Xenopus tropicalis: one gene and its partner. Each later gene encodes a partner of the first gene's protein in a complex. Links are inferred from orthologs where the notes say so. Each region holds a gene or a part of one and is shown on either strand. Other genes may lie near its edges.

What was found.
Region 2: the proteins of phf2 (region 1) and vrk1 are in contact, whole or in part, in a crystal structure (PDB 8F8Y), measured with the Homo sapiens proteins. The link is inferred for Xenopus tropicalis from reciprocal best matches to the Homo sapiens genes PHF2 and VRK1. Residues at the interface, in NP_005383.3 of Homo sapiens: Tyr7, Tyr14, Val16, Thr17, Arg18, Phe19, Met20, Ile21, Glu22, Trp29, Glu39, Ala42, Ile45, Asp46, Tyr48, Lys64, Tyr145, Ser147, Glu150, Lys175, Val178, Asp179, Tyr182, Ser183, Thr184; in NP_003375.1 of Homo sapiens: Pro2, Arg3, Val4, Lys5, Ala6, Ala7, Gln8.

What each region holds. Positions count from the first base shown.
Region 1 is NC_030680.2:152,120,986-152,125,318, reverse strand, and holds the start of phf2 (lysine-specific demethylase PHF2), read left to right. Parts: upstream 1-1,532; 5' UTR 1,533-1,610; coding exon 1,611-1,708; intron 1,709-4,333. UniProt on the Homo sapiens protein: Lysine demethylase that demethylates both histones and non-histone proteins. Enzymatically inactive by itself, and becomes active following phosphorylation by PKA: forms a complex with ARID5B and mediates demethylation of methylated ARID5B.
Region 2 is NC_030684.2:89,325,960-89,330,165, forward strand, and holds the start of vrk1 (serine/threonine-protein kinase VRK1), read left to right. Parts: upstream 1-1,385; 5' UTR 1,386-1,493; intron 1,494-2,575; 5' UTR 2,576-2,579; coding exon 2,580-2,739; intron 2,740-2,933; coding exon 2,934-2,989; intron 2,990-3,661; coding exon 3,662-3,731; intron 3,732-4,206. UniProt on the Homo sapiens protein: Serine/threonine kinase involved in the regulation of key cellular processes including the cell cycle, nuclear condensation, transcription regulation, and DNA damage response.

The DNA of each region.
Region 1 (4,333 bases):
CAACACTATTGCACCCTAGGCACGTGCCCTCTTTGGCCTCCCCCTAGTTCCAGCCATGGGTGCACCCTGTAATGGTCACTCTGGATCAACACCGGTTCTGCCTCCTCTGTAATGGGTTTCTGCTGCCTAAACCCACCCCCCTGGGCAAAACAAATGTGTAGAACAGCTTGGTACCGACATGGAAAACCTACCCCCCGGCCCGCTTGTGTATAAATCCCCACAGAGTTACTGGGCAGCACCAGTACTCGTTCCAGTACCCAAAGTAAAGGACAGTACAACTGGTAGTATTACCCATAAGTACCAGTACTCGGAGCGCTGCCGTACATCACTCCTGGCAGTAACTGCCCAAATCCGGTATTAGCTGGACAGCACTTATGGTACCTCTGACCCAGATTATAGCCCTTACTATAGTACCAGAACCTGAGTAGTAAGACCCAGCAGAACTTACAAAAATACCAGAATATTACCCAGCAGAACTTAAAAGCAGTAACAGTACTCAGAGTATTATCTGCCAGCACCATAGAACAGAACCAGTACCCCAATGTATTAGCCTGCAGAACCTAAAGCAATGCCAATGCCTGCAGTGTTACCGGACAGTACCAATGCCAGCAGCAGTACTCACAGTATTACTGGGCAGAACTTACAGTACCTGTAGCATCCCCAGACAGTACTCATGGGGAAAGTACCAGTACCCAAGCTAAAACCAGACAGCAGAACCAGTATCGAAAAAGCCGACAGTATCAGCAGTGCCCAGAGCAGTACCAGGCAAGGCTTACAGCAGTACCGGTACCGGCAGAACCAGCAGTCAGTACACAGGGCAATACCGGCGGTACCGGGCAGTACAGTACCAGTACCGGCAGGATCAGCAGTCAGTACACAGGGCAATACGGGCGGTACCGGGCAGTACAGTACCAGTACCGGCAGGATCAGCAGTCAGTACACAGGGCAATACCGGCGGTTCCGGGCAGTACAGTACCAGTACCGGCAGGATCAGCAGTCAGTACACAGGGCAATACGGGCGGTACCGGGCAGTACAGTACCAGTACCGGCAGGATCAGCAGTCAGTACACAGGGCAATACGGGCGGTACCGGGCAGTACAGTACCAGTACCGGCAGGATCAGCAGTCAGTACACAGGGCAATACCGGCGGTTCCGGGCAGTACAGTACCAGTACCGGCAGGATCAGCAGTCAGTACACAGGGCAATACGGGCGGTACCGGGCAGTACAGTACCAGTACCGGCAGGATCAGCAGTCAGTACACAGGGCAATACGGGCGGTACCGGGCAGTACAGTACCAGTACCGGCAGGATCAGCAGTCAGTACACAGGGCAATACGGGCGGTACCGGGCAGTACAGTACCAGTACCGGCAGTACTTCCGAACAGCACTTACGACCGTACCCAGAGCGTTCCCGGCGGTACCAGTACCGGGGCAGTACCGGGCGGTTCCGGGAGGGCAGAGTAGCGGGCTGAGCCGCCCGGTTCGGCCGATGGTGTCTCCCCAGTGTGTCAGGCCTGGCTCCCCCTCCCAGTCCCTCCCTCTCTCCCTCCCTGCGTTGCTGCTGTCGCTGCTGCTGCTGTCGCTGCTGCTGTTGTGAGCGGGGATCGAACATGGCGACCGTGCCCGTCTACTGCGTCTGCCGCCTGCCCTACGATGTGACCCGATTCATGATCGAGTGCGACGCCTGCAAGGACTGGTTCCACGGCAGGTAGGGAGCCTTCCCCGGGGCTGGGAGCCGACACTGCCCGGGCTACTGGGGCACCACAGCTTCCCTGCTCTCCCCCCGACAGTACTGCCTGCAACCGGGGGTTCATTCTCCTCTGCTTCTCCCTCCGGGGGCACCGGGGCCGCCTCTGTCCCCTTCCTGCACCCCGGGGTAGGGGAGGCCTGTACAGCCCCAGCCATTTGCCCCCCTCTGTGCAACCCCTGCCCACCGAGGCCTGCAACTGCCCCTCTAAGTTCTTTAGCCCCCCCCTGTGGGACCCCCCATCTCCGGGAGGCCTCTAATAACCATAGTAACGGGGGCACCTGTCTCCCCGGGGGTCCGCTCTTACCCCTCTACCCACCTGGGGGGGCCCTTGGCATGGCTACAGCCCAATGGTAACTGCCCCCCTAGTGGGTACCCAAGCCCTAAGGGCAGCTGAGAGAACTGCCCCCCTAGTGGGTACCCAAGCCCTAAGGGCAGCTGAGAGAACTGCCCCCCTAGTGGGTACCCAAGCCGGGTAACATGTCCAGCCTTGGCATCTAACTCTTAGCCCAGAATGCCAGGGGACCCCTTGCTCTGTAAGGAGCCCAGTGTGGGCAGCTGCCCCCCAGAGTCACCCCTGTTCCTGGCACACACTGCACCTGCTGCCCATCTGCCCCTGGGGGTTGGAAGGAGCTGGGGGGCCGAGGCCTTTATGTTGTTATTCTGTGTTGTTTGTGGCAAACCGGCTGCCCCCTGCCTGCTGGGCACTGCCCCCTGTGTGCTGCTCTGGCACCGTATCCTTACTCTCTGTGCAGCCTGAGTACTGCCTGGGTACTGCCTGGGTACCGCCTGGGTATTGCCTGGGTACCGCCTGGGTACCGCCTGGGTATTGCCTAGGTACCGCCTGGGTATTGCCTGGGTACCGCCTGGGTATTGCCTGGGTATTGCCTGGGTACTGCCTGGGTATTGCCTGGGTACTGCCTGGGTACCGCCTGGGTATTGCCTGGGTACTGCCTGGGTATTGCCTGGGTACAGCCTGGGTATTGCCTGGGTACTGCCTGGGTACAGCCTGGGTATTGCCTGGGTACAGCCTGGGTACAGCCTGGGTATTGCCTGGGTACAGCCTGGGTACTGGGCACAGGCTCTTACCCCTTGTGGGATTCCCAGAGGGACTGGGAATTTACTTCTATGTATCGGGCACTGTCTCTTTAACCGATCTGTGCTGTGTGGTAGGGGGCACTGTGTGTGTTATACAGGGTAGGGGGCACTGTGTGTGTTATACAGGGTAGGGGGCACTGTGTGTGTTATACAGGGTAGGGGGCACTGTGTGTTATACAGGGTAGGGGGCACTGTGTGTGTTATACAGGGTAGGGGGCACTGTGTGTGTTATACAGGGTAGGGGGCACTGTGTGTGTTATACAGGGTAGGGGGCACTGTGTGTGTTATACAGGGTAGGGGGCACTGTGTGTGTTATACAGGGTAGGGGGCACTGTGTGTGTTATACAGGGTAGGGGGCACTGTGTGTTATACAGGGTAGGGGGCACTGTGTGTGTTATACAGGGTAGGGGGCACTGTGTGTGTTATACAGGGTAGGGGGCACTGTGTGTGTTATACAGGGTAGGGGGCACTGTGTGTTATACAGGGTAGGGGGCACTGTGTGTTATACAGGGTAGGGGGCACTGTGTGTGTTATACAGGGTAGGGGGCACTGTGTGTGTTATACAGGGTAGGGGGCACTGTGTGTGTTATACAGGGTAGGGGGCACTGTGTGTGTTATACAGGGTAGGGGGCACTGTGTGTTATACAGGGTAGGGGGCACTGTGTGTGTTATACAGGGTAGGGGGCACTGTGTGTTATACAGGGTAGGGGGCACTGTGTGTGTTATACAGGGTAGGGGGCACTGTGTGTGTTATACAGGGTAGGGGGCACTGTGTGTGTATACAGGGTAGGGGGCACTGTGTGTGTTATACAGGGTAGGGGGCACTGTGTGTGTTATACAGGGTAGGGGGCACTGTGTGTGTTATACAGGGTAGGGGGCAGTGTGTGTTTATACAGGGTAGGGGGCACTGTGTGTTATACAGGGTAGGGGGCACTGTGTGTGTTATACAGGGTAGGGGGCACTGTGTGTTATACAGGGTAGGGGGCACTGTGTGTTATACAGGGTAGGGGGGCACTGTGTGTGTTATACAGGGTAGGGGGCACTGTGTGTTATACAGGGTAGGGGGCACTGTGTGTTATACAGGGTAGGGGGCACTGTGTGGTTATACAGGGTAGGGGGCACTGTGTGTGTTATACAGGGTAGGGGGCAACTGTGTGTTATACAGGGTAGGGGGCACTGTGGTGTTATACAGGGTAGGGGGCACTGTGTGTGTTATACAGGGTAGGGGGCACTGTGTGTGTTATACAGGGTAGGGGGCACTGTGTGTGTTATACAGGGTAGGGGGCACTGGTGTGTGTACGGGTAGGGGGCACTGTGTGTGTTATACAGGGTAGGGGGCACTGTGGTGTTATACAGGGTAGGGGGCACTGTGTGTGTTATACAGGGTAGGGGGCACTGTGTGTTTATACAGGGTAGGGGGCACTGTGTGTTATACAGGGTAGGGGGCACTGTGTGTTATACAGGGTAGGGGGCACTGTGTGTTATACA
Region 2 (4,206 bases), on another chromosome or scaffold:
ATCGTCGCTATTGTGGACGACTAAACTCCCTGTAATGCCACCCCACCTGCAAGAATGTAAATCGCTGGTGGTATGGCATAAGCATTGCTTTGGTCGCCTGAAGTTGCCTCGCAAGGAAAACTGAAGTGACGTGTATGCTATCCCACCGGCGATTTACATAGTTGCCGCTGGGATGGCATGTCGGGGAGATTAGTTGCCCACAATAGTCAAGATTTTTTGCGGGCAACTAATCTCCCCATGTGCCACTGCCCTAAACATTTGATATTAATTTTGGTCAATTTCACCAATTATTTTCCCAAAATTAGCTAGACCCTACATTGTAAATAATGTGGCCCTTGTTTTACAACAAAACAATAGGACCTCAGAGTATTAAAAAAAAAAAAACTACATGACTTCATTTCAACCAGCCCTAGTTTGCACAAAACCCCTTTCCTTTCTGGTCAAATTGGAAAAAAGATATGCCAGATATAGTTAGCAAGGACAAAGTATATTTTTTATGCCTTGGTTGGGGTTATAAGCAAATACATAATTTTACTTTTAGTTAAATATTGGGAGCAGAGACTCTTGTAATGGCATGCACAGTGCTCCTGCACAAGTAGAAGCATTAAAAATGACGTCTGAAATATCGAGAACAGAGACTCTGGCAGGCAGGAAAAAAATGTGGTCTCCTGGCAAAAGTAAGTGTTCTATTAAGCAACAAATTGCTACCAACTACTGCGTGAATTGCATCAAACCACTAACAAATCACTTTCTTCCCTATAAGCAGACCCCCATAGCAGGCCGTGCTTACTTTCCCTACCTGAAGGAACAGCAAAAAATGAAAGTGTTTTAAAGGAATTAAAATATTGTTGCCCTGCAGTAGTAAAATGTGTATGTTTGCCAGAGAAACACACTATAGTTTATAGAAATAAGCTGCTGGGTAGCCACGGGGGCAGCCATTCAAGCTGAAAAAGGAGAAAAGGCACAAGGTACACAGCAGGTAACAGATAAATCCTGTAGAATATAATGGTGTTTATCTGTTATCTGCTAAGTAACCTGTGCCTTTTCTCTTTTGAATGGCTGCCCCCATGGCTACACAGCAGTTTTGTTCAAACTATAGTAGTGTCTCTAAAGCTAACACACCAGTTGTACCAGTGCAGGGGAAAAATTACATCGTAATTACTTTTATATACTTTCATTTTTTGGTGTTACTGCTCCTGTAATAACAGATTATGACTGCTAGTTAGACTGACTAGAATAGACCGCTAAGAATGACTAAGATCTTATGATTGTGCAACAACATCAACCATCCTTTGTCACTCCTCAAAAGCTTCAATTTGCGCGTCACTGCGCTTATATACGTGCAGTCGTGACGCCACGCTCTCGCGAGATGAGATTTGTGACGGCGGGATGAAGCTGCAGGCGGGAGCGTAGGACGTTTATTGCGTTGCGGGAAGTTTAAGTAGCGGTCGGGCACGGAGGTCTGTGTTAAGACAAATCGGAACTATTGGGCGGTATGTTGTTAGTAAAAGCAACAGAATAAACGCCATTTTAGAGGTTGTGTTGGGTGCGTATTGGTAGTAGTACTGTTACACAGGGCAGGTCTGATAAGTAATGTATTATCGATCTCTTGTTATTCCCTTGCACCTGCCAACATGTGAATTTCATATCAGAGCTGTTTAGTTGTTTGGCCAATTCGTTCCGCTGCATTTAAAGAGGTGGTTCATCTATAAATTAATGTATAATGCATATGCTATTCTTAGCAACGTTTCAGTTGGTCTTTTGTTGTTATCATTTTTGCTCTTCTGACACTTTCCAGCTAACAGTTAAAAATGCTTTCTGGTTGTTGGTAGGGCCAAACAGCCATTGCTCTGTGAGCCTATAATATTGTTACTTGTTAATAGTTATACTTCCGCTCTGGCCCTCTACTGTTCATCTTCTAATATGTCATTCAGTCCTCTTTCGGGTTGCTGGAGTAAATAAGACCCTAGCAACCAGTTACCCAGACCTGTGGCAACACAGTAGGGTGGCCAGGGCAAGGCCTGAAATCACTCAGCACAACCCCCTCCCTTAACTATTCTCATGTTCTTTTGCCCCACTGCTCTCCAACTCTCCAACCCCCACTCCCCCTTTCCTTCCACTCCTCTGGGCAACTCAGATCTTCTATCTGAACCCTGTTTAGCAGATAGGATGAGTGTCACAATGGTGGCAAAGTAAGTACCTGCCAAGGGGCCCCCAGTCCTTGCACCCCAATTCTTGACTTGTAATAACAGAAGTGTATAACTACTGTCACAAGTCATTCATGGGCTCTTACAGGTGGATTACAGGCTTGTCAGAGTAGGTGTGACCCGAATAGGCAGTCTTAAAAAATGCAAGATATGACATTGCCCTGAAAGGATACAAGTTGCCTTATGTTATTTGTTTTCTTCCTAGCTCCTAACCCACTTTTAGTCTGTATTCACTTTATTTTGTACTGAATTCTCCCTCCTGTGATAAGCATTCTTATCATACATACATAAATACATACATAGATATTTTTTAAAATCACTTTTGAATTCTGTTTTTAATTTTTGTCTAAATTTCATTTCCAATGCAGAAAAATGCCACCCAAAAAAGCAGCGTCAGGAGCCAGAAAGGCCCCAGCTAAAAGAAAGTTGGCTGAAGAGTTTCCTGCAGGGGAAGTGCTAACAGATTCAGCAAAAAAGCAATGGAAATTGGGGTTACCTATTGGACAGGGTGGATTTGGCCGTCTTTATCTTGGTAAATTTGTATTTATTTTGTAAATGGAATTGTGTTCTTATGTTTCACATTTTCTTGATGGATAGCACACAAACTTACAGGTACCACACAGCTGAACCCATTTTAATTCTATTACGTATGTTATATAACTAATATAAAGTAAACTATATAAATTCAAAATGGAAATGTCAATAATGTAAGATTTTATTTCTCAGCGGATGAAAATTCTTCTAGAACTGTAGGACCAGATGCTCCGTATGTCATTAAAGTAGTAAGTGGTTTTTCCCCTACTATTACCTTTTAGTATCCGTGATCTATTGGGTGATGTTATCATTGTAACTCCATCCTACCAATGCAATAGATAGTGCGAAAAGTTAAATAGACCTCAGTGTTAGGAGTATCCTTAGATAATTCAGTTTTGTCTAGAGTGGCCAAAACACTACAAACTCTAGTTAATTTAAAAGGCTATCCCTCTTGAATTATGGATGAATGGATATTTTTAATGGTTTGTTTACTAGTACATTGCTAGAATTACCGGTATGCATAAACAGAGGAATATTTTGCAGTAACCTACAGCAGTAGATACAATGTTATTATTCTAGTTTTATTTAAAGTATGTCTTTTTTAGCATTGAGCATTGGACAATTCTGTAACTATAGACATATACCTTTTTTTTTTTTAAAGGCCATATTATAAAACTACTGGAGGTGTTCCTTTTGCCTAGATTTTTTGTTATTATCATTCAGCTAATTGATCCTATTCAAAGCCTGTACTTATGAACTGTGGGTTTCCGTTGGATCCCTGACTGATATGGAATGAATGCTGTCTTATAAAGCAAGATGGAATGCCTGACCTAAAGCAAATGCCATATACATTTATGGATTTACTCTAACTACAGTTAATAGGATGCTGTTATATGTTAAACCATATTTTAAATCTGTAGGAACCAAGTGAGAATGGACCACTTTTCTCTGAACTTAAGTTCTACATGCGTGCTGCAAAACCTGACCAGAGTAAGTTGGACCTTAATATTGTCTGATTGTGCTTTCCCAATATATCAACAATAGATAACAAGTTACTACTCTACAGAGATTTTACCTTTCTCAGTGTGTAATTTTATTTGTTTTAAAACATTAACGGCATTTTCACAGCAATGCTGGGTATTTTATTTAACCTGAGTGTTAAAGGAATACTATTATGGGAAAAAGTTTTTTTTTTTTTTCTTTTCAAAATGCATTAGTTAATAGCACTTCTCCAGCAGAACCCTGCATTGAAATCTTTTTTTCAAAAACACAGATTTTTTTAATATTTAATTTTGAAATTACACATGGGGCTAGGCTAGCCATATTCTTCATTTCCCAGGGTGCCACAGCCATGTGACCTGTGCAATGGGAAGGTATCAAAATAGCAGCTCCCATTAGATATCAGAATAGCACTCAATAGTTAGAATTCCAAGTCCGGCTTGGGACTCCTTCAGTAGGAAAAACA